Linked DNA regions of Oryzias latipes. The protein of the gene in region 1 interacts with the protein of each later gene in a biochemical or structural test. Links are inferred from orthologs where the notes say so. Each region holds a gene or a part of one and is shown on either strand. Other genes may lie near its edges. The genes, in order: copb1 and arcn1.

Region 1 (12,676 bases):
CACAAAGATTCCCTGTTGCAAAGGACTATTCTCCGTAGTTTTTGTAATCCTGCTTGACCCCTGTTGGTTGACCTCCTTGTTAACCTCTCTCTTTTTTAAGCCTCACCACAGGCTAAGAAAATTCTCTTTTTTTTTTGTTCGGGTTGGTTTTAAGAGCTATGGTTACCATGGGTGTGTTGTTGGGCTAGATGGTAACTTTTTTTTGAAGGGGATACTACTGTCCACACAGAAAGAGATGTAAGCAGACACTGTCTCCACCTGTTTGTTGATGTTGGAGGAGGATGTGAGGATGTTCCAATAGGTGGTTTCAAAGCATCTCTGCAGCCTATCAATACTCACTGTTGTCCACTGTTTAATGTCCTTAATTGTTTTCTGTGTCCTCCTAAGCACTGGGCAGTAAAATGGACCAAGTACTATACTTACTAAAATCAACTTCAAGTGTGCTACTTTTTTGTTGAGGGATCTTGATAAACAAAAATGAGATCTTTTAAAGGAATGTAAGCATCCGCAAAATTCACAAAAAAATATTTTAATCTTACATCAGAATTCCCCTCTGGGAAAGTCCTGTTTGCAGACAACACCACAGTCATTGGGATCTTCAGGGATGGCGATGAGTCTGCTGACAGAGGAGAAGTGGAACAGGTAATCCTCTGGTGCAGCAAGATCCACCTGGAGTTTAACTCACTTACAACATTGGAGATGACAGTGGACTTCAGGAAGACCCCACCCCCCTCAACCTACAATTCTCAACAGCACTGTCCCCTTAACCCTTTTGCTATCCTATGACCCCACCCTTACATTGACGTGTTCTCCCTACCATGACAAAGGTGGATAAAGGTGAAGAGGATTTCATGTAATCCATGAACACCAGTGAAGATCACAAATCATTGAAGAAAAAAGGTTCAACACACTGTCTTGTGGGGTCTAGATGACCCAACTCCCAATGTTAACGTGCCAAGGATAGCACAAGGGTTACCAGACTCACGCAGCTTCCTAGGGTCCTCCATCTCACGCGACCTTGAGTGGACCTATCACACCGACTCACTCCGGAAAAAAGCTCAGCAGAGGTTGTACTTCCTGTGACAACTTAAGAAGTTCAACCTGCCTCAGGAGCTGCTGACGATCTTCTACACAGAAATAATCCAGTGTTCCCTGACTACATCCATCGTCGTTGGATCTGCAACTAGAGATTCATCAGATCTGCTGAGAGGATCACTGGTTCCAGCCTTCCCTCCATCCAGGATCTGTTCTGGTCCAGGGTCAGGAAGCGGGCTGGTAGAATCGCTAAAGACTCCTCTCATCTTGGACACTACCTTTTCAGCCTCCTCACGTTAGGGTGGAGTTTCAGAACAATGTGCGCCAAAACCACTCGCCACAAAGTCAGCTTCTTCCCCCGACCTGTCACTTTCATGAACTTCTGACCAATCACAGATTATGGAAAAGAGACATGAGAATTGTCACACAGAAGTACTGTTGTATTTTATTTATTTTTATTTATCGTTATATTTTTCTTCATATTTTTTTTTTTTTTTTTGTCTTTACCTTTTTCCCATTGTTGCTTGGTTTGCACGAGAGCATGAGACACCAAAGCTAATAAATTCCTTGTATATGCACTGTACTTGGCCAAGAAAGCCGATTCTGATAAAACCATGAACACATATTTCCAAAAGTAATTTACTTACTGTGTAGTTAAGATTAAATTAAGAAGCAGATCCACCTGTGACAGAGTACATAATAAATCTATTCCTCACGTTGTTCCAAATTTGTCAACACTCTATAAAATTAGTGACTTTTGGGCTTATTTTATGGGTTCATGTCCCTCTACCTTTTTTTTTTTGACTACCAAATATTTCATCACAGACTAGACACGTCTTCTGTTAAAAAATAGCTGTTTTTTTCTGTTTCAGTACTTAATTTTTGTTCTAATGTTAAATTATCATAACTTTTAAGTGTACACATCCCACCAGCTGTGTGAAGGGTATGTCACATCGTCAAAAGCTTTAAAGTACTCGACTCCTTTTTTCAGCCACTTTGATTTGGATGTAGAATCAAGCTGTTACCAAAAAGATGTCACTTCATTCACTTAAAAAAGGCTGTAGTTTTAAAATAAACCATACATTGTCAGTGATGGCCAACAGCTAAGATATTGACCCTAAATTTGTTGAAAAAACGATTAATTCAATAGAGACTCAATTCCACAGAGAAAAAAACAAAAAAGTTATTGAATGGAGTCTGGGAATGTGGGAAACTTGGATCGCAGGCCTCAGCCATGACTAGTGATAAGAAGTTTTGATGATAATAACAGGAAACACACAGATGGATAAAATTACTTCATTTCCCACCAGAGGTGCTGAATAGAGAAAAACAGAGCCATGCTAACATGGGAAGATTTTCTGTTCCCCAAAATCTAACAATGCTTAAGGATGAGAACAAATAAACAATGCAATAAAATAAAAATAAAAACGGACAAACCAAACTTGTCACCAATGTAAGCTGGTAAAAAAAAGCACACTAGTGTTTAATATAGCCCTTTGACTTGTCATCATCTGACAAATGACTTTTTGACTGCAGACATTTTACCATAGCGCAGCAGGAAAAGCACTTATGTGATTAATAAAATTAACAATGACTGCACATGATTAAATTTAACCCGGTCTGGCATTGTGCATGCTGGCTCATTGCTCTAATGTCATTTGTTGCACCTGCTGCCAGAACAAATGTCTGCTGTGAAAAGGTCAGGGAAAAAGTGGAGCACAGCACTTTTGTCAGTGATGCAGATTGCATGGTGAACTTCTTGCTGTGTTTTACATTGCAGCGTACAGAGCAATAAATGGCATAGAAAAAAGGTCAATGGCAAAAAGAGTCTCTCTCCTGCACCACAAAATGATGCATGAACTTTATTCAAGTGGCCTAGGTTTTTGCATTTCATTTGAGATCCTATATTTGTTTGCAAATTCAACTTGCGAACAACTTTTCAGTGGACTTTCAAACATCTCAAAATCCATGCAAACAGACTATGCATGGTTCCTTCTTGTTAATCAGTGTAGTAGTTGCAAAATAAAATTAACATAATGTTTTTTAACTGAATACTTTCAAAACCCCTTCCTCAGCCGAAGAGTTTCAGATTCCCCCAGAAAAATCTAAATTTCCTGATTGAGTAGGAAAATAAGGTGTGCTTTTTTAGTTGCTACACTATATGTAGTCCTCCACTGAAGAGCAGCCGTCCACTTTTCAACATGAACAGAGAAAGTTAGTGTATTCCCATAGTAAAAAGACTCTTTCAAGTTCTTCAGAGGTTAAAAATGTCTCACCTCAACACAGGTAACACACAGTTTTTCTCTGTTGGAGTCAAGCATGAAAAAAAAAATCCACATTCAGCATCCCGAAAACCAGTCAGAAGATAAAAAAAAAAGAAAGTTTCCTCAGCACAGGAGTATTGATGTTTTCTAGCACTCTGGACAGAAGCCTGGATCAAAGTTGAATATGTTTTTCCCCCAAATTCCAAGAAGAAGGTCAAATTACCCAGCTTAACACACTCTTGTGTTCCTCCAAGATGATTTAACTGAAAATGAGTCCATAAAACAGAAACTGTCAGATCAATACGAGACAAAGGCTTCTCAACATCCACAGTCTTGGAGCAGCTGGAGTAACTTGAGTATAGATTTAATAACTTGCCAAGCGCCTAGTACAAAAAGTAAAAAGGAGACAGACCAGTCATATATGACCTTCCTCTGTTTAATATGAAGTGCTGCTTGTCGTAACCAAAACATCCAGCTCTCGTCAGGAGGATCCTGGCTGAGTGGAGCCATCACACCCTGCAGTGAAAAAGTAGCTGGGCAGGCTTTAGTCTGAAAGCAAACAACCTGAGTGTGGCATCAATCACTTAATGAATCCAGTGCATGTGCCTGTCAAATCAAGAAGGGGAAAAAAAGAAAGATAACACTAACAGGCACTCCCATAACTGTTTGTTGGAAATAAACCCACATACTGGGTTTACTTTAATCAATAATAGTTTAAAAAAAAGCGTGTGTTTTGATTTCTAAACGTTTGTATTTAAATTGTAAATCAAAGAAATGGAAAAATACATTCCCATGTTTAGCGGTCGGTTTATGCGTTGCGCGTTTGAACCTACCGGCGCACCGTAGTTGTGATGTGGCTCAGAGAGCAAGTTTCTTCCACGTCACTAGGAAGTGGAGCTGACGGGGAAAAGGGTACCATCGCTCTTTTCACAGGGACCTTTACACATGTATACGTTTAAAATTGGACATTGAAGGTGACATCGGAGGACACAGACGTACAATAAGGTAGATTATGTTATGCAATTAGTTTAAATGTTGTGAATAATAAGCATTTAGTAACGAGGCGGCTAGCCATCGCAACATTGTCCACCATTTCGTTGCAAGATTAGCCGGTGTTTAGCTAACGCTAAAAATGCGAAAGTAGTAATTCTAACTTAACCAAACTAGCTGCGTATTTGATTTAATTGTTCATTTAACCGGTTAATATACGTTTTTTTCGTGTCTAGCGGTTTGGTGCGCATACTCGTAGCGACATTTAAGTGAAATATAGTTTTTTTTTTTCGGTGTACTACTAGCAGCACTGGCAGGCACCTGTGACTGTATCCCAACGATTTTCTCCTTTTTTTTCTTACCTAGACTGGAAGTTTTATTCGCTTTAAATGAGTTCTTAGTTTTATATATCAGGATAACAGCCCTTTAAAATGTTTATTACATTCAGAGGAATAGTTGGCAAAGACTTTCAGTCAGGGTAAACCTGTAATAATAAATATAGCTCCAAGATTTTTATTTTGAAAAAGTAACTGTTTGATTCAGTTGTTTTTTATCGAGACATGATGGACAAAACTCACTCTGCAATTTTTATACACACAGATGGTTTGATAGCCTTAAAGTATGAAATTATGTTTTTTCAAACATTTATTGTTTAGGTTTAAATGATTTTTACATATAAAAAAGCTGTGTTGTGGCTTGTTTTATTTTTAAATTTGCGTATGTTTGTATAATATTAGCTTCTTTTTCGCTTAACTTTTTAATGAAATATGACACAAAAAATGTCATATTAAAAAAAATATTCTTAGAATTTTCTGCAAAGGGATATCACAATACCAGAAATTAGGCCTGCACAATATACCGCAAATGTATCGTTATCGCAATATCCAGCTCTGCAATATGCATATCGCAAAAGACGGCGAATATCGCAATAAATCGCAAACCCAAAATGTGTTAAAACAATCTTCTAGCAGCTTGAAGCATTTAACGAATCAAATAAATCCCTTTATGCTTTGACCAATCAGATGGACTCCTTCCCATTGTTGACCAATCAGATGGAGGCCTATTATGTTAGATGTTTGTCCCCCATGTCGATGAGAGTCATTTGGAGTATAATTTTTAAACTGTTGCAATGAAATGGCAATGATGTTTTTGTTTATTTTTCTATTTGTTTATTTACCGCAAATTTATCGTTATCGCAACATTGATCACTAATATCGCATATCGCAGGTTTTCCTCATATCGTGCAGCCCTACCAGAAATGTAGTTGTGACAATAATGCTAAAATTAAACTCATTTGGATATGTATATCCAGATGGGAAAAGCGCCACATATCTTTATTATTTTTCTTCTTCTTTTGAGGCCAGGAAATCAATAACTGTTAATCCTTTCAGTCAGCCCTTTTTTTGTGTTAGTTTTCTTATGTTTTCTAATTTAACTATTGATTTCTTCACTTCTTGTCTGACAATTTCACAGTTTTTCTTCTGTTTTTTTTACAGGTATTATCCGAAGAGGGATACTCATTGCAATTTGTTTGGCCATAAACAAGCTCAGCAGCAAAATGACGGCTGCAGAAAACGTTTGTTACACTCTCATCAATGTTCAGTCGGATTCCGAGCCCCCGTCCGAAGTCAGCCTCAAAGCTGATCTAGGTAGAGATATTACTTTTCATGTTGTTCTTAAATTCAAAGCTTTTTTGAATTGGTCTCGATTGATCACACATGATCATACTGGCGATGCTCGATCTGAATTTATCAAACTTATCAGAAAAAGAGAATGTAGGCCTGGTTAATTAGAATAATATACACATTTTTTTCACGTTTTCACATGTTTTCTAGGGATTATTTATCAGAATATCCATAGATAAAATGAATTGGATGCTTTATTACATAGTAGTTCACCAGCTGTGTTTTTTTTTTATCAGTAACTGCTTATTGACAGGGCTTAGAAATGCCACGTCTTCTTAAAATTAAGTGTTAAGTCGATCCTTTTTTTTCATATCAATTATTGTTGCAGCTTTAAAATGAAAGACTTCAGTTGTAAATGTACTTAGATTGAACTGTTTTCACTTAAAAACAATTTTAAAAATTAACAGCAGCTCTGCAGGCAGTTTAGATATGCTTATTCAAGTTAAATGTGCTTCAGTCCGGTTCAAGTTGTCAAAAATAATTTATTTTGTTGAGGTGGTTTTGCAAAACTACAAAATAAGATATTGTTGGCAAATTTATTTTCACATCTTTTCAAATTGATTAAACACTCAAATATTGATCCAATACAACCAGGGCTCCAGACTGCGAGCAATTGGTCGCATTTTGCGACCAAAATTTGAGAGTGTGCGACTAAATTTTACATCCAGTCGCACATGTGCGAGCAGTAAATTTGCCTCCCCCACCCTTCGTATTTTTTTTATACATTAAACGTGGAAGGGGCACGTCAATGATCTATGAAATAATCAATGAGACGCGAGCGCACACGCACGCAGGCAGACACACACACTCGTGCACATACTCATGAAACGCAAGCACGAACACTCTCGCGTGATGCCTGTGTGTTAGGCGGCCACTGCGTGTGAGAAGAATAGGGAAAGTCACTGTGAGTGGCTAAAATGCGTGTAGGGGGAGGGGCCTAGAGCTGACCAACCAATCACAGTGGGGTATATGACTCTTGGGGGCGTGACAATGACAGGGTTTTGCAAGCAGGAAACTTGACAGCCCCCTCCCCGGACCACATTAAGGAGTTCTTTACTTTCCTTTCTAGAACGTATCTATTCGCTCGTAATTTTCTAAATACATGCAGTCCGTGCTGAACTTTTCTCTGGGTCACACAGATCCGGAGGAAGGTTTAGGTTTTGGTTACGGTTACGGCGGCGCATCATACGGGTTACGGCAGCACACCGCACCTGTCCCGCGGGAGTCGGGTCAGCTGAGGAGAATAAATGCCCCACACCTACATGCGTGACAGCTAACGGGGCTTGAACTTTAAACACGCTCGAGCAAAAACAACATTAGTTTTAGACACACTGAAAATACGTGGGGAAAATGCAACGATAGACGTGTTTGAGATGAACCAGCACCTCGCCTGGATCGTTGGGGAGACCAGGCGGGGGGGGGGGGGGGGGGGGGGGGGGGGGGGGGGGGCTGTGAGATGAAAGCGAATCTGCAGCAAGACTGAAGGAGAACAGGAAATTGGAGTTGTCCTTAACATTCAATTTAGATTTAATATTCTTCTCCCCCTTAGTATGATCTGTGTTATTATATATTTTATGATTATTTTAATGTTTTGTAATGTATGTAGCCTTTTTTAATGAATTGGTATTTTAAATTATTTTAATTAATCACTCCACTACAAAAACCATCAGGACACATGTCCCATAATGCATTGTTTTGTAGTCTGTAGGGCAGCTTTCAGTCAGTTCAGTTTCCAGCTGTGTCCGGGTAGGTTTGCCCCTTGCTCCCACCCCTTTCTCGCGATATTTTTGCGATGATTGACAGTTAATGTTGGAGCAAAAACAAATATACATCTCACACCAGGTGATCTGCGCAGCGTTGAGTCCACCTGGGTGATCTCAAACACGCTTGTTGTGCATCTTGGCTGCACCTATTTGGTGTCACAAAGATAAATTTCCATCCGTTTTCTTTACTTATTTGTACTGTCATGACAGCGATGCTTTTGTCAGTTTACCTGTTGTTGCATCTTCAAAAGTGCAGAATAAAATGTGACACTGAATTTGAAACAGCACATTGTAATATCTGCATCTATTATTAAAGTATTTATTAGTAATACAGTGGAAATTAGTAGATTTGGTTAGAATGTTGATTTACGGTGTGCGCCCCTAAATTTTCTGGTTGTGCCCCTAAAATTTTCAGTTAGGGGCCACTGTGCTCCTAGTGAAAAAAGTTAGTCTGGAGCCCTGAATACAACATGATGAAACGATGCATCCAAATAATCTTCTTCTGCAGAGAAGGGAGAGATCAAAGCGAAGACGGAGGCCCTGAAGAAGGTCATCATCATGATCCTGAATGGGGAGAAGTTGCCAGGCCTGCTTATGACCATAATTCGCTTTGTGCTGCCACTTCAAGACCACACCATCAAGAAGCTGCTCCTGGTTTTCTGGGAGATCGTCCCTAAAACGACTCCAGATGGAAAGCTGCTTCAGGAGATGATCCTGGTCTGTGATGCCTACAGAAAGGTAGGCTGCTGCTTGAAGAATTTCTTTATATTATTATAACATGGTTGAGGAAGCCACAAAACATGGCTTTGCCACCATCTACATTCCCAAGACCACCTGATAGCAGCAGAGTAGGGCCTGATTACCGTAATTTCCGGACTACAAGCCGCTACTTTTTTCCTGCGCTTACAGCCCTGCGGCTTATTCAGTGACGCGGCTAATTTATGGATTTAATTAGTGGCCGCCATGTACGTACTTTCGAACTCAGTGAATAGTTTGAATTCTTTATCTAACACCAAGCACAAGACATTTATATTCAACACACCTCTAAGCAGCCAAACAGCATGGACTTGACTTCAGGTCTTAGACACTTCAGTCATGGTTCAAACAAAATGAAACACGCATGCCCGGCCGCATCCCAGAATCCTTTGGTGCCATTAGACCCAACGTGCACCAGATCGCCGCTACAATATGATGAAGCTTTCAAGTTAAAAGCAATTGTTAAAAGCAGCGTAAAAAAGTCCACCGTCACCAACGGGTTTGGAAAAGCCGGTTTGCTGCGTGACGGAGAGAACAGCGCATGGAGTGAATTTACACTCCATTTACGGTTTCTAAGGAAACCGTAAAAGCAGAATTTTGCTTTGAAAAACTCACAGCCTCCGTGTGAGCTGGAGACATCTTCTCCTGCTGATTGAGCTGCGGGGCCGATGGCAGTCTGAAGGCTCCCACACGTAACAACGCACCCGCCCCTCATACACAAAACGTACAGTATTAAGTCCGATTGCTTTGCACAGAAACGATTTGCTCGGTCCACCGGCGCAATGGGGACGAAGTGCTCCTCCTTGAAGCTGCCCTGGCCAGAGGTGTCGGAGTAGATAGGAAGGGGAGACAAGGAGCGCGCGGGGCGGGAGCGGAGCGCAGAGGCGTCCGCGGAGTGCAGAGGCTTCTGAATTCTGACGCACGCGCCGCACTGAGGCGCGCGTATCGCGCTGAGGCGCGCGCTTTTCAGTCGCCGCTGCTGTATTTTACCGGTGTGTTTTTTAACCAGCCCTGTTACTCCCATAACGCTGCCGCGACACAAGCGGAAGGAGAGCTGTACCCGTTCACCCCTCCATGCACTGCTGATACTTGCTCATTCTTAAACACGTACTACAGAATGGCGAGCCGGGCATTGGCCCCGCCTTTAGCCCCTAAGACTCATGGGAAATGTGGAATCGCGGATGTAAATTTCCTCATCATAACTGAGGGATGTAATGTTGATTATATGGTTACTGTTTCTAATTTTATGTATGATACCTAGATTGTCAATAAGTAAAAAAAAAATGAAATAAAAACACCATAACTGAGGAACTTGTGAACAGAATATAGGTCCATGCTGTTTGACAGTTGTTGACATATACAAATACATGAGCCTGAGTCAAAGCTAACTCCACCCACAATGTGCTAATGATTTGCACTCACTCTGGGATGCTGGCCGTGATCTGTCAGGATGACAATATCGCCTAACACATGCGCGGCTTGTACACTGACGCGGCTTGTGTATGTATAAAACTAATTAAACATGTGAAAATGGGTGGGTGCGGCTTGTAATCGGGTGCGCTTTGTAGTCCGGAATTTACGGTAGTCTTTGGATGGGAGACAGCCTGGAACTGCCAGGTGCTGCGAGTTCCCGCCACCACATGGGGGCACTTTCCTCTGTTTCCTTGTACTATAAAGCCAAATCTCATGTGATTCACTATAGTGGCCCTATAGGAATAAACAAACATTGTATTGGATGCAGCAGCTCGGTAAAGTTTGTAGCATTTTTAAACAGACTTTGATTTGAATTTTTAACTTGCTAGTTTGTTTCAATGATCTTTTTAGTCAGTTGTTGGCTTCAGACAGGTTGGTGATTTGACCCACAGGAGACAAGAACTTTATTAGAATCTCTGCATGTGACATCCGACTGTTAAAAACAGATAAAAAAGCACTGTGCTGCATTAGTTTAATTATGATAAACATTTGCAACTTTACATTTATTTCTAAAGATTTTTTTCCACTATTTTTCTTATGGCAAACCCAAATTGTGTCCAGTTTTTGGATAAGCAGTTTAAAATTATATTAATGTACTCTTTGATAATGTTTTCCATCCTGATTTTTAGTCCACATGTTTGTGAAACTTGCCTTTGCAGTGTTTTCTTCCATGAAATGCACTCATTTAAAGCTAAAGGTGTGAAGGTGTGGACCCCTTTAAATATTGAAGCAGTTGTTTTCAAACTTTTTTTTGTAATAACTCAGGATCTTCAACATCCCAACGAGTTCATCCGTGGTTCCACTCTGCGTTTCCTGTGCAAACTGAAGGAGTCGGAGTTGCTGGAACCTCTCATGCCTGCCATCCGCGCCTGCTTGGAGCACCGCCACAGCTATGTGCGCCGCAACGCCGTCCTGGCTATTTACACCATCTACAGGTGCCAGATGCTCATGAATGCATTTTCACATGCATCCCACAGAGTATGCATACTATTAGTCTGAAGATTGTTAAGCAATTTGATCTGTTCAGGAACTTTGAGAATCTGATTCCGGACGCTCCAGAGCTGATCCACGATTTCCTCGTCAATGAGAAAGACGCCAGCTGTAAGAGAAACGCTTTCATGATGCTGATTCATGCAGATCAAGTGAGTAGTGTTTTGGAATCTACCTGTTCCTATTTGTAGCACTAAAATATTCAGATTCAAGGCCAAACTAATTGTTTTTTCATCACCTTCAACAGGATCGAGCTCTGGATTACCTCAGCACATGCATTGACCAAGTGCACACTTTTGGGGACATCCTGCAGCTGGTCATCGTGGAGCTGATTTATAAGGCGAGCCAGGCGCTTGAGCACTACACAGTTTAAAAGCACGAAAACCTACAATCGGATCAGATTTCAAATAGAAGCCCTTTTTGTTTCCCTGTTAGGTTTGCCACGCTAACCCTTCTGAGCGAGCGCGGTTCATCCGCTGCATCTTCAACCTCTTGCAGTCCTCAAGTCCAGCTGTGAAGTACGAAGCTGCAGGCACTCTTGTTACCCTCTCCAGTGCTCCTACAGCTATCAAGGTACATTGTCATGACTTTTATCATCAATTTAGTGAATATATTCTCATATTAGTATAACTCTCAGTTTCCATGCAACACATATACTGCTTAGAGCTGATAGCATACTGTATTTGATCAGTTTCTAAATATGTGGCCTTCTCTGTTGCTCCAGGCTGCTGCCCAATGTTATATTGACTTGATCATTAAAGAGAGTGACAACAACGTGAAGCTGATTGTTCTTGATCGTCTGATTGAACTGAAGGATCATCCCACTCATGAACGGGTTCTCCAGGTGGGTCGACATTTTTAGAAATAAAAGTAAAGTTCCTAAACACTAAAAAAAGAAATTCACATTCAAATGTGGTGAGTTTAAGTTATCAAATGGTCTCTCTTTTTACCAGAAAATTCATTAACATATAGTGAAACATATTGTTTGTCTGGTCGAGACCCAGTTTTCAGTTTGTCAATTGTTCAATCTGCTGAGACTTCTCTTAGTTGCCTCCATATTTTTTTTAGGACCTTGTAATGGACATCCTCCGTGTCCTCAGCACTCCTGACCTGGAAGTCAGAAAGAAGACCTTGCAGCTGGCGCTGGACCTCGTCTCTTCTCGTAACGTGGAGGAGGTCTGCAGCATATTTAGCACATCAGTGTTTGTGTAGGTTTTATTTACAAATTGGAGAAGAATTATAACTTGTTGCAAAATGTTTCTGCTTCTCCTTTCAGTTGGTGATCGTTTTGAAAAAAGAAGTGATCAAGACAAACAATGTCTCAGAGCACGAAGACACTGACAAGTACAGGCAGCTCCTGGTGCGCACTCTCCACTCGTGCAGTGTGCGCTTCCCCGATATGGCGGCCAACGTCATACCTGTGGTAATTTATTCCTCCAACTCTACAAACAGGACAGACATTCTGAAATGCCGTTGGTTCCTCAGCCTCCTAAATGTTCGGAGCGTTTTGGTGAACCTGTTTGTGTTCCAGCTGATGGAGTTCCTGAGCGACACTAACGAGGCGGCGGCTGCTGACGTGCTGGAATTCGTGCGAGAGGCGATTCAGAGGTTCGACAACTTGAGACCTCTGATCATCGAAAAGATGCTGGAAGTGTTTCACGCCATCAAAACGGTCAAGTAAGGCTTTCGACTACAAAGCCATTACATAATGTGGAGAGGG
Region 2 (12,676 bases), on another chromosome or scaffold:
GTGTTCTAACAAGTTGTAGAATGTTTCCAACGATGGACGACATACATGAAGAAGATTAAGACTAAAACTGCATTTCTGAATTTTCTTTATTCAAATTGTTGTGAATTAGGAGCAGACGTTAGAAAACGATCATAACCGTGACGTAGAAACGATGCTGGGCGGAGCAACAGTCTCTCAGCTCCTCCCCTTTCTGATCATCCTCTGTCAGACACATGGATCCATGAACGTCTCTGTTTTCCTGGTCTGAGCTGGAATCTGGATCACAACTGGACCGATGATATTTATGTTCAGGGGGTGGCGCTGTAACCTTGCAGGAGAGGTGTAGACAGAGAGCTCTCAGTAATAAGATGGGAAGGGGGGGGGGCTTCATGCCAACAGCCCTGGCCTCAATTCAGAGGTGAATTTCAAATGAACTATTGCTGCTCTACAGAAACTATGTCCGAGTTTGTTTTTGTTTTGCTAAAAACAGCCTATTCCTCATTAAAAGACCACTGAGAAAGCCTTAAATAGATGAAAACATGCTTAGCGTGAGAACCTTTTCCTCTCTCATGCATGTCTGTGTGGATAATAGGAACCTGTGGTGGAGCGGTTGCACATCTGACTCAGCGCGATCTGAGTCAGGCTACACCCAGATAACAGACAGCAGCACGGCTGTGCAGGCGGGCGGCTGTCCGCTGCAGCACAGCCACAGGTGTTGAGCCGAGGCACCACTCTGACGAAGAGCAGGAAGTCTGAGGACTGGTTTGGACTGTGGCTCTGCTGGGGGGGAGGGGGGGTTGACATGTCATGAAATGAATTTCTGCTTCAAAATTACAAAAAGGCCAAAAAAAAAGATTAACATTTGTAAATCTTTTGGATTACTGACTTAAATTAACATTCGCATTTCAATCTTAATTATTTATTTATGTTTATTCTTTTGTTTTCTATTTTTAGTTATGTATTATTTCCTTCTTCTTATTTTCCTTGCTTTATTTGGTTATTATTGAAAAACAGTTTAAAAAATGTATTTTACTTACAATTTTATTAGTTTAGATTTTGTAAAGGTCAAAACCATGTTGTTTCGTATTCAGCACTGTTTTTTTTCTTAATTGTATTGTTATAAATGTTGTATTTTGTATTGTATTCAGCAAATGTTCAACACAATAAAATTAATAAGAGACACTTCAGGATGGTTTGGTTTAAAAATGAGAGAATCAACGTTAACTCAGAAAACCTAGAGAGATTTGTCAGATCTGTTCGTTAATTATAACCGCGTGTTGAAACCTCTCCTCTCTCCTATCGATCTATGGCGTTTGCCAACGAAAGCTGGGGTAAAAACGGAGAATAGCAGATTTTAAAAACATTAAAGTAAAGTCAACTGACGCACCGCCCCCTGCTTCTTCTCAGCCAATAGGAGGCCGCGTCTCGAGACGGACACCTCCACTGGCCAATCAGAGCGATCTACCGCGCGCGGCGACGGGTCGACCGATTAGGCGCTTTGCGTGCGTGTCTCAGGAGTTACTGGGCTGGACTCACCGCAGAACCGGACCCCTCCGACATAACGTAGCTCCTCTGTGGTGTGGGGCACTGTTGCCGGAACAAAAGACCCAGAGAGTACCACGAAGTCCGGCGGTACGAGGGCAAACTCCTTACCCGCTTCCTCGTGCCAGTGATTGTGCTTCCGGTGATGTCACGGCATCGTAGAAAGGTCACTTCCGGCTTTTCAATGAATGAACAATTACTTATGCAGTAATAACAGGATGAATTGACAAATTATATCCGAAAAAGCGTGCCAATATTTTAAGGTGGGAACTGTGGAAGAACGACCAGAATAGGATGTTTGATTTCCTCTTGAAATCAAACATCCTTGAAACATCTTGAAGTCCTTTATCTCCAATAAAATGTATTTTGGTGTTTTAACACATCCTTTAGCATTTTTCCAAAGGGGGGGCATATGTGAAAAACATTAAGATTAAAACTACAGTAGGGGACGGAAGATCAGAGTGTGTGTTTGTGAGCATGTGTGTGTTGGAGTGTACATTGTTTGGGGGTTAAAGGGTGTGTGCACTAAAAGTTGCAGTTAAAATTGGCGGGTAGGACACTGAGGGGACACCTCCTGCTTGCTGGCAGTGATGTCCAAACACCCTTCCTACCAAGGGTCCTACATGTCCAAGGGGGAATTAAAACCAAGAGGGGAGGGTCTCGTGTCCATGCGGCAACCATGGGAGGGGGACCACTGCCAAGTAGCCCCTCCCCCAAGGTGCATTGCAGGCTGACACCCCCCCGGATAGCCCCAACCATATTGTCAGCCAAGTCATTACTATTAAAGTTTTTAGCAATGGTTTCCCTGGGCTGCACAGTGACATAGTGGTTCTCGTCTCACAGTGAGAAGGCTGTGGTTTGAGGGTTTGTCCAAGCACTCTGGCTTCCTCCCACAGTCCAAAAACATGCTGCTCAGGTTAATTGGTGTCTCTAAAATTGCCCCTAGGTCTGAGTGTGAGTTTGGGTGATTGTTTGGTCCTGCAACTGAATTGTGACCTGATAAGGGTGCACCCCAATTTTCATTACATGTCCATTAACTTGTGTAATACAACAGACTTACTGCCCAAAATGTTGTTGTCCAGAGCCAAGATGATGAGGGACTTGAGGAATAAAAAAAAGTGAATAAAATCTATTTTTAGCTTGTTATCGGTTCCTAAGGTTTTAAAATGTAATTGGATTTTAATTACTGAAATAAATTTCCTGCCATCCTTCATAAATACTTTGAGGTCATTTAGTTTTTTTGTACAAATGTGTTTAGTCCGTTTTTTTCCTGCAGAACTCTCGGATTTGTTGACATGCAGTCATTTAACTAACTTTAGGTACTTTTTCTGTCTTTCTTTGTTTTTTTTTTGTGCATGTGTGTGTCACAGGTCCTGGTTTTCTGGTTTTTGTTGTCCTCTTTAAAAAAAAAAAACAACTTATATTCAAACATTATGGACTAAACCAAACAAAGCTAAGAGTTGCTTCCCAAGTTGTGTTTTCAGTGCTTTAATAGTAACAAAAAGAGCCAATCTAGCCACAGGGGTTGCAAGCCAGTAACTTCTGTGCCGGTCCCAAGCCCGGATAAATAGAGAGGGTTGCGTCAGGAAGGGCATCCGGCGTAAAAATTGCCAAAATAACCATGCGAATCATCCACAACACTTTAGACATACCGGATCGGTCGAGGCCCGGGTTAACAACGACCGCCACCGATGCTGTTAACCTACAGGGTGTCGGTGGAAATTTGACTACTGTTGGTCGAAGAAAGAGGGGAGGCAGAAGGGTCCGTTGCCAGAGAGAGAAGGGAAAAGGCAGGAACATAGGTTTGAGAATAGGGACTCTTAACGTTGGCACAATGACAGGGAAAGGCAGAGAGCTGGCAGACATGATGGAGAGAAGGAAGGTAGATGTACTGTGTGTGCAGGAGACAAGGTGGAAGGGCAGCAAGGCACGTAGTATTGGAGGAGGATACAAACTTTTCTATCATGGTGTTGATAGGAAGAGAAACGGGGTAGGAGTGATTCTGAAGGGGGAGTTTGTAAACAGTGTTCTAGAGGTGAAAAGAGTCTCAGACAGGATGATGAGCCTAAAGTTAGAAATTGAAGGGGTGATGGTGAATGTAGTCAGTGGGTATGCGCCACAGGTTGGCTGTGAGTTAGAAGTGAAGGAGAGATTCTGGAGTGAGTTGGATGAGGTCATAGAGAGTTTTCCCAGAGGAGAGAGAGTTGTTATTGGAGCAGACTTTAATGGGCATGTTGGTGAGGGCAACAGAGGTGATGAGGAGGTGATGGGCAGGTTTGGTGTGAAGGAAAGGAATCTGGAGGGACAGATGGTGGTGGACTTTGCGAAGAGGATGGAAATGGCTGTAGTCAACACTTACTTCCAGAAGAGAGAGGAACATAGAGTGACATACAGAAGTGGAGGTAGGAGTACTCAGGTGGACTACATCCTATGTAGACGAGGTCATTTGAGAGAGGTTAATGACTGCAAAGGGGTGGTAGGAGAGAGTGTAGCCAGACAGCACCGCATGGTGGTGTGTAAGATGACTCTGGAGGTCAGGAAGAAGAAGAGAGGGAAAACAGAAAAGAAGACCAAGTGGTGGAAGCTACAGAATGAAGAAACTTGTGAGGAATTTAGGCAGAAGTTGAGGCAGGTCCTGGGTGGTCAGGATGAACTTCCAGATGACTGGGAAACTACAGCAGAGATTATCAGGGAAACAGGTAGGAAGGTGCTAGGTGTGTCATCTGGAAAGAGGAAAGACGGTAAAGAGACTTGGTGGTGGAATGAGGAAGTACAGGAATGCGTCCAGAGGAAGAGGTTGGCTAAAAGGAAGTGGGATGTAGAAAGGACTGAGGAAGGTAGACAGGAGTACAAGGAAGCGCAGCGTAGAGTGAAGAGAGAGGTGGCAAAGGCCAAACAGAAAGCTTACGATGAGCTATATGACAGGTTAGACACAAAGGAAGGAGAGAAGGACTTGTACAGGCTAGCCAGACAGAGAGACAGAGATGGGAAGGACGTGCAACAGATAAGGGTGATTAAGGACAGAGATGGAAAGGTGCTAACAACCCAAGAGAGTGTACAGAAAAGATGGAAGGAGTATTTTGAGGAGCTGATGAACGAGGAAAATGACAGGGAAAGAAGGGAGGAAGATGTGGTTGTTGTGGAGCAGGAAGTAGCAGAGATTGGAAAGGATGAGGTTAGGAAGGCTCTGAAAAGGATGAAGAGCGGAAAGGCCGTTGGTCCTGATGACGTACCTGTGGAGGTATGGAAGTGCCTAGGAGAGACAGCAGTGGAATTTCTAACGAGGTTGTTCAATAGGATTTTAGAGAGTGAGAAGATGCCTGAGGAATGGAGGAGAAGCGTTCTGGTTCCGATCTTTAAAAACAAGGGTGACATGCAGAACTGCAGCAACTATAGAGGAATAAAGTTGATGAGCCACACAATGAAGCTGTGGGAAAGAGTAGTGGAAGCCAGGCTTAGGAAGAAGGTGGAGATTTGTGAGCAGCAGTATGGTTTCATGCCCCGTAAGAGCACCACTGATGCCATTTTTGCTTTGAGAATGTTGATGGAAAAGTACAGAGAAGGTCAGAAGGAGCTGCATTGTGTGTTCGTAGATTTAGAGAAGGCGTATGACAGGGTGCCGAGGGAGGAGCTGTGGTACTGTATGAGGTCGTCTGGAGTGGCAGAGAAGTATGTCAGAGTAGTTCAGGACATGTATGAGAGAAGTATGACGGTGGTGAGATGTGCTGTAGGTCAGACAGAGGAGTTCAAGGTGGAGGTGGGACTACACCAAGGATCAGCTTTGAGTCCTTTTTTGTTTGCTATGCTGATGGACAGGCTGACAGACGAGGTAAGACAGGAATCTCCCTGGACAATGATGTTTGCGGATGACATTGTAATTTGCAGTGAGAGTAGAGAGCAGGTGGAGGAACAGCTAGAGAGGTGGAGGTTTGCTCTGGAAAGAAGAGGTATGAAGGTCAGTCGTAGTAAGACAGAATACATGTGTCTGAACGAGAGGGATCAAGGTAGAAGCGTTAGGTTACAGGGGACTGAGGTGAAGAAGGTGCAGGAGTTTAAGTACTTGGGGTCAACAGTTCAGTGTGATGGGGATTGTGGAAAAGAGGTGAAGAGGCGAGTGCAGGCAGGTTGGAGCGGTTGGAGGAAAGTGTCAGGAGTGTTGTGTGACAGAAGAGTGCCAGCAAGACTCAAAGGAAAGGTGTACAAGACAGTGGTGAGACCAGCTCTGCTCTATGGGTTAGAGACGGTAGCAGTGAGACAGAGACAAGAGGCTGAGATGGAGGTAGCAGAGATGAAGATGTTGAGGTTCTCCTTAGGAGTGACCAGGTTAGACAGGATAAGGAACGAGTACATCAGAGGGACGGCTCATGTTGCCTGTGTTAGCGACAAAGTCAGAGAAGCCAGACTGAGATGGTTTGGACATGTTCAGAGGAGGGATAGTGGATATATTGGTAGAAGGATGTTGGAGATGGAGCTGCCTGGCCGGAGGGCAAGAGGACGGCCAAAGAGGAGATATATGGATGTCTTAACAGAGGACATGAAGTTGGCTAACGTTAGGGTAGAAGATGTTCATGATAGAGTGAGGTGGAAAAGGATGATTCGCTGTGGCGACCCCTGATGGGAAAAGCCGAAAGAGAAAGAAGAATAGTAACAAAAAGAGCCAATGATTGAACCAAATCACCTCTTTTGTAATGAGAAAATATTATTATTGTGGTCTACTTCTGCAGGTATCATAAAGAAAGTACCTTAATGATGAAACGGGGCTCATGTTACACATTTCAATTCTGAAAATTGTCATGTGTATGTAATTTGTAAAGTAGAACAGTTTGGATGTAAATTCACAGCACTGGTCGGAGGTTCCTGATGGGGCTCGTGCCGTTGTTCCCTCTCACTTCTTAGTGAGTAGTGGGTGCGACGCAAAACGCTCGCGGCACGCGTCTAAAACCGGATCAATCTATGGAGAAACTGGGCGCTCGAGCGTTTCCACTCGACAGCTCCAGGTTTTGGTGTCCGCGTGACACGTCACTGTTTTCCACGCAAGCTGATCAGGGCCGCGCGCTCCTTCCGGTGGAGACGTGGCTCTGCGGCGGCCATATTGACGCTAGCAGTCCGTGGAAGCCGCGCGCGTTGTCAGAGACTACAGTCCCTGGACCAAACTCAGAACCGGAACCACGAGAAACGGACTCCAGCGGAATCCCGAAGACAGACCACAATGGTAGGTGTCTGTCCAGAACCGGACCCCCCCTGCTCCAGTACGCGTCGGGCCTGCAACTAGCATAACATTGGCTAGCAGCTAGCTGCTGCGCTTCGGAACGGAACTAAAGTCAGGAGACGCAACTGTCCTCTGGTTTGGTTAAGTTTGGGTCCAGCACAGACTAATAGTGCAGTTGGACACGTTGTCCATTTAATTAGCTAGTACAGATAGCGAGGCTAGTGTTGTCAAGCCGGACTGGACCGACCGAACTTGGTTGATGACGGGTCGTGTTCGGCCCGGGAGTAATTCTGTTCTGTGTTGGCTGTGAATGTCATTAAAGTTCTGTTAGTGTGACCCTAGCTGCTGTTTGTCAGTACCAGAGTTCGTATAAGATTTTAGAAGAACAAGAACAGTTCGGTCCTGCTCTGTGTGGCAGCTGCCAAAGACACACAACAGTGTCATGATTTGGCACACCGTCCATGTTCGAGGTTCCGAAGGGTCCAGTGGGGAACTAATGGCTCCTGTCATCAGGTCAGAGTTCTGAGGTTTGAAGATCTGGAGTTTTCTGTGATTCACCCAAAATATGCCCCAATTCATCTGGGAAGCATTCCAGACGCTAAGGTTTGTGGGTAAATGAATCGCATGAACTGGAGTGCACTCTGGGTACGTTCATTTATTTATTTGAGGTAAAACGTCAATATTTTTTTCATAAACGTCAATAATACCGCATAAACAATTTAAGTTGAATTTATTTGTAAATATAAACGACTCAGAACACAGCAGTAAACAAGACTAAATACTTCATAATGAGCATGAGAAAAACAACATGCACTCTGTCTATCAGAAGTGTACAGCTCGGTTTCACCTAGAGGTTCTGTCAACTGGCACCTGGTGATCACCTTGTGGTCGCCGTGGTGACCATTAGGCCTGTTAACTTGTTTCCCCGAATGTCCCTTGTCTGCCTAAGCTGAAGTGAAAATATGACAGACTAAAAATGAGGATGTTGCCAAACTAAATGTCTCTCCGATGGAAGGGAGTCATTCACAAATGAATGAAACTACATGTTCATTCATTCCAACCCCATTATTTTCAAAGACCCACTCCAATGGAAATTGTATTTGTGGTGTCATTAACTTGTTCTTGTAGCACTTATAATGAAGGACATGTATCAAGAAAACTAAGCTGAAAATTTCATTTCTGAGTAATTCTTTATTCAAATCGTTGTGAATCAGAATGGGGGGGGGGGGGGGGGTGTGATGATGTGTTACATACAAACTACAATCATTAGGCCACAGGCTCCCTGCTCCAGTCCAGTCTGATGCATCCACCTGGGATCTGGATCCAAACTGAAGGGCTGGATGCCGTCGAATTAAAAACATTTTCTTTTTTTCTCTACCAAACAAATGCAACCACAAGAAGGCACAGTCCAGTGCTTTCATGTGCCTGTCAAAGGTGTGTCAGGAAGGGCATCTGGCATAAAACCAAAGCAAAATCAAATATGAGAATCTCAATCAAATTTTCCTTTTGTGTGGTTTAATTAACTCTTTAACACTGGAGCTTTAGCTTTAGTGTTGACATTCTTTCGACTACGGTAACTCTTCAACAGTTGATGCAATTAACGTAATTCCAGTGGATTCTGCAGCGGAGAAAAGCATCTTTATCTTGACATCCAACACTTACAGTAGTGATATGCTTGCCCAATCAACAAGTCACCCAATCAACACTTCTGTCATGCAGTAAAGCAGCTTTGCACCCAGATTGATGCAAAGCTGGTCTTCTCTGCTTCAGAATCAGCTGATTAACTGATCGCCAAACATCAAAGATTTACCATCAAAAAGAGAGAATTGTTTAGACGTCACTGGAGACATCTCTGGTGTTAATGACTTGTTACTGGTACTGTTGACCTAAAGCGGGGGTGTCAAACTCATTTTCACCGAGGGCCTCATCAGTATAGAGGCTGTCCTCAAAGGGCCAGATAAAACTTATACATGTAACTAAAAATAAACGTAACTGCTCCTTGATGTTAAATAACTCATTTATTTATTTGTTTTAACTTTTTGAAGTGACCATTACAGTTGCATAGAAAACATGTTTGCTTGTTACTCTAGCATAAATCCTTTGAAATGTTGTCCTCTTATTAAAACCCACGATCAAACTGTCCACGTGAATAAATAACATCAAACTGAGCTAGAAAGAACACGTATGACACGTGTAACATTTTACAATAAAAGGCTGCACACAGCCGTGCATCCAACTGATGGTTTGATGACAACAATTTGTCTGCATACACACATAAGACCTGCAAACATTGAATAATGACAACTGCAGCTACACATTAATAATATGTAATCAACTAAAAAAAATATTATAAGAGATTAAAAACGTTTATGCTGTGGCAGGCCACATAAAATATGGCGGGCCACATTTGGCCCCCGGGCCTTGAGTTTGACACATGTGACCTAGAGGGTTCATGTGCACTAATGCTGGTCAAAGGAGGAGAGGAAGGAGGTGTGGCAAAACTGGTACCTTGCTTTTTCTCTCTTTGGCAAAAAGAGCAAATGAAGTGTGGCAGTTTAGGAGAAGAACCTTTGATTATAGAGACTTTAACAGGGAAAATACAGTTGGCCAATACGTTAGAAAAAACATGGATGTACTGTGTGTTTGACAGACCAGATGAAAATGCAGGACGTTTTATTAACTGGGAGCAGAGTTGAAGCTTATTTCTAATGGTGTGTGCAGAAAGCAGAACAAAGAAGGTATGATCCACAACCCGCCGACGACATCTATACATCTATAACGACTCGACTTTTCATGGGATAAATGGGAATCAGCTGATACCAAAGCAGAGGAAAGCGTCTTTTCATATCTGCTTTGTACTGGCGGCTGAATGAGACCACTTTGTCTGTGACAGAATCCACTGATTGTGTAAATACTTCACTACTGTAAAGTGTCCAAAGAAAGTCAGTCAATTTATTTATATGCACAATATACCCATCCTTCTTTGCAAAAGTTTGGATGTTGTCTGTTTTCGTGGGAAAAACGCAGACACACTGCAGAGGCCGGCTCTAGGTTGATATCATGAAATGGGCGGCACCCAAAAGGAGAGAAAGGCGGAGCCTCAGAGATCGAGCCGTCTTACTTCATGGTTGGAAAATGAGCTGCAAAAATAACTAATATTTCTTTAAAAAAATAGCTCTTTTGTGTGGCAAATGTAATATGATATCATATGCATGGACATAGTTTACTATAAAAGGATTAAGAATAGCATCATATGGGCCTTTAAGTACTTTTACAAGAAATCACAAAAATTTGTCGATTCCTAATTATTTAAAATTCACAGAATGATTCCAAATCATTTATGGGTCCTAATTGATGCATCTATTAATCTAATAATCTAGTGTCAGATGTGACTTGTGTTGAGTCTGTAAAAATGAAAGGTGAGAGCAACCATGTTGTTGTTTTAGAGACCATTGCTCTGACGCAGAGCTGGAGGTGAAGGTAGAGATGTTGAAGTTCCCTTTGGGAATGACCACGATGGATCAGGAGTGAATCCATCAGAGGAAACGGCTGATGTGGGATGTTTTGGAGATGAATTTAAGGAAGCAGATTGAGACGTTGACAAGGGTGACAGTTGTTGTGTTGGTAGGAAAACTGAGGTTTGAGCAACTAGGACGGAGGCCTTTAGGAAGACAAAGAAGGAGGTTTTTGGAAGTAGAGGAAGAGGACGACGTGATGAAGATGGTTGGTGTGAGCAGAGGATAGGATGGAGGTGGATGATGCACTGTGACAACCACTAAAGGAAGCAGCCAAAATGAAGAAGAAAAAAATCATGCTAGTTCCTGTCTTTGTTGGTGACTGAGTCCTCCCTTTTAAACAATTGGGGAGGACCATCTGTGGATATTAAGTGAAGCTAAAGTGGGAAGCAGAAGGACTGCGACTTCAAGACTCAGGAGATTTGATCAAGCAAGTTGGGTAGAGAAGATTCTAAGGGTAGGTACAGATGGGAGTGGTCATACACAAACAGGTTCGTGTTCTTAAAAAAGCCTGACATGCCTCTGTGTCTGCACTCAAAGTATTGATGTCGACATTTAAAGCAGATGAAGGTGAAAGAGTCTGCCTCACTCAAGAACTTTCTAATGTTAGACAGTAAACCCTGATGATCCCTACTTTCCTGCACAGGTGCTGTTGGCAGCGGCGGTGTGCACCAAGGCTGGAAAGGCCATCGTATCGCGGCAGTTTGTGGAGATGACTCGGACCAGGATCGAGGGACTCCTGGCTGCCTTCCCAAAGCTCATGAACACAGGCAAGCAGCACACCTTTGTGGAGACGGACAGCGTCCGCTACGTCTACCAGCCTCTGGAGAAGCTCTACATGGTTCTGATCACCACCAAAAACAGCAACATTCTAGAGGACCTGGAGACCCTGAGGCTCTTCTCCCGTGTGGTAAGAAGCTGACATGCTGCTGAATTCCTGATGCCTGCATCATTCTATCATGATTATAGGTTTTCCAGCAGTAGCCTTACAAACTGATCATCTTTACTACAATTGCAATTTCTGCAAACTAAGGACGGATCAAATTTGCTTTAGTGTAACAATCTCTTTTTTTTTTCTTGAAAAGCCTCTTTGTATTATATTATCCAGATGACAGCCTTTAAACCTACTTCTATGATGGAATCTACCTGGATGAATGAGAGTCTTCACAGACATTTTTCTACTAGTTTCCTTTCTGTTCAACCAGTTTTGAGAAAAGGCTTACCAGCTGTTTCTGGGTTAGCTGGTCACTCATCTCATCCATAATCTGGACACAAAGAAGTTCCTTCTGCATCTGCTTTCTCTCAGTCTACACAAAAGATCCAGTTATCTTGTCCTAAATTTAACCAGTACCAAAAATAAAGTCCCAGATCAGTGGTTTTTGACAGAAATTATTTAATTCAAATACCGTGTTAGGAAGTCCAGTTATGTACAAACACAACTTCCTGTCAGTATTTGATATGTTACATTTTTTTTAACTTGACAAATTTTGGGAGTGGGTTTTATTTATTTATATTTTGTTTCAATTATTTATTTTTAAATGTAACTCGAATTTTAGCATTGCAAAGGTTGTGTTTGTTTTTTATGGCCAATGAGCCCAATTTCCCATTTGGCACATAGTAAAGGAGTAGAGGAGGAAAATACAGAAAACAAAATCACCAAAAGGAGAGAGCTAATAAATATGACTAATTTGACACCAACATCTGGTGACTAACACTCCAACTTTTACTCGCCAAAGAGGAGACCTAAACAAAAAAATCAGAAATGTGTCGAGTGGCTTGTCCGCTTGGTCTGTGCTGTATTCTACATCATTGAATTTTTCAGGAAAAATGGGTCTGGATTCTTCTGGGTTACGGAGTCGAAATGAATGAACTCTGGTCAAATTATTGGTCCCTCTTTAGTCAATGTTTTGTAATATTTATCAACTGTGTAAGTGTCCATGGCAGGATCAGATGAGAAATAGCTGGTACTTTTTTCCTAGTTTGCTTGGGTTTTCAGTCCACTGCAGTGTTGTCGGTGCAACTTTCAGCAGGAGGTTCTGCACGTGTGCAGAAAAAGCTCACAACGCTGTCGTCCATGCAGATCCCAGAGTACTGTCGCGTGTTGGAGGAGAGCGAGATCTCCGAGCACTGCTTTGACCTGATCTTCGCCTTCGACGAGATTGTGGCTCTCGGCTACAGGGAGAACGTCAACCTGGCCCAGATCCGCACCTTCACAGAGATGGACTCTCATGAAGAGAAGGTTTTCCGTGCTGTCAGAGAGGTAAGCTGCTCCTCAGATGACAGCCAACTGAAGAATGAAGAGCTGATGCTGTTCAGTGCTTGACATGCAGATTTGCTGATAACAGACACAGGAGCGCGAGGCTAAGGCAGAAATGCGGAGGAAGGCCAAGGAACTTCAGCAGGCCAGGAGGGACGCTGAGCGCTCTGGGAA

The links.
Region 2: the proteins of copb1 (region 1) and arcn1 form a complex in vitro, tested with the Homo sapiens proteins (2 studies listed by BioGRID). The link is inferred for Oryzias latipes from reciprocal best matches to the Homo sapiens genes COPB1 and ARCN1.

Annotation. Positions count from the first base shown.
Region 1 is NC_019861.2:19,355,393-19,368,068, forward strand, and holds the start of copb1 (coatomer subunit beta), read left to right. Parts: upstream 1-4,174; 5' UTR 4,175-4,304; intron 4,305-5,785; 5' UTR 5,786-5,847; coding exon 5,848-5,938; intron 5,939-8,245; coding exon 8,246-8,475; intron 8,476-10,731; coding exon 10,732-10,901; intron 10,902-10,993; coding exon 10,994-11,108; intron 11,109-11,203; coding exon 11,204-11,296; intron 11,297-11,391; coding exon 11,392-11,529; intron 11,530-11,680; coding exon 11,681-11,800; intron 11,801-12,024; coding exon 12,025-12,132; intron 12,133-12,232; coding exon 12,233-12,379; intron 12,380-12,487; coding exon 12,488-12,633; intron 12,634-12,676. UniProt on the Homo sapiens protein: The coatomer is a cytosolic protein complex that binds to dilysine motifs and reversibly associates with Golgi non-clathrin-coated vesicles, which further mediate biosynthetic protein transport from the ER, via the Golgi up to the trans Golgi network.
Region 2 is NC_019871.2:31,553,090-31,565,765, reverse strand, and holds the start of arcn1 (coatomer subunit delta), read left to right. Parts: upstream 1-6,460; 5' UTR 6,461-6,730; coding exon 6,731-6,733; intron 6,734-10,891; coding exon 10,892-11,155; intron 11,156-12,325; coding exon 12,326-12,505; intron 12,506-12,590; coding exon 12,591-12,676. UniProt on the Homo sapiens protein: Component of the coatomer, a cytosolic protein complex that binds to dilysine motifs and reversibly associates with Golgi non-clathrin-coated vesicles, which further mediate biosynthetic protein transport from the ER, via the Golgi up to the trans Golgi network.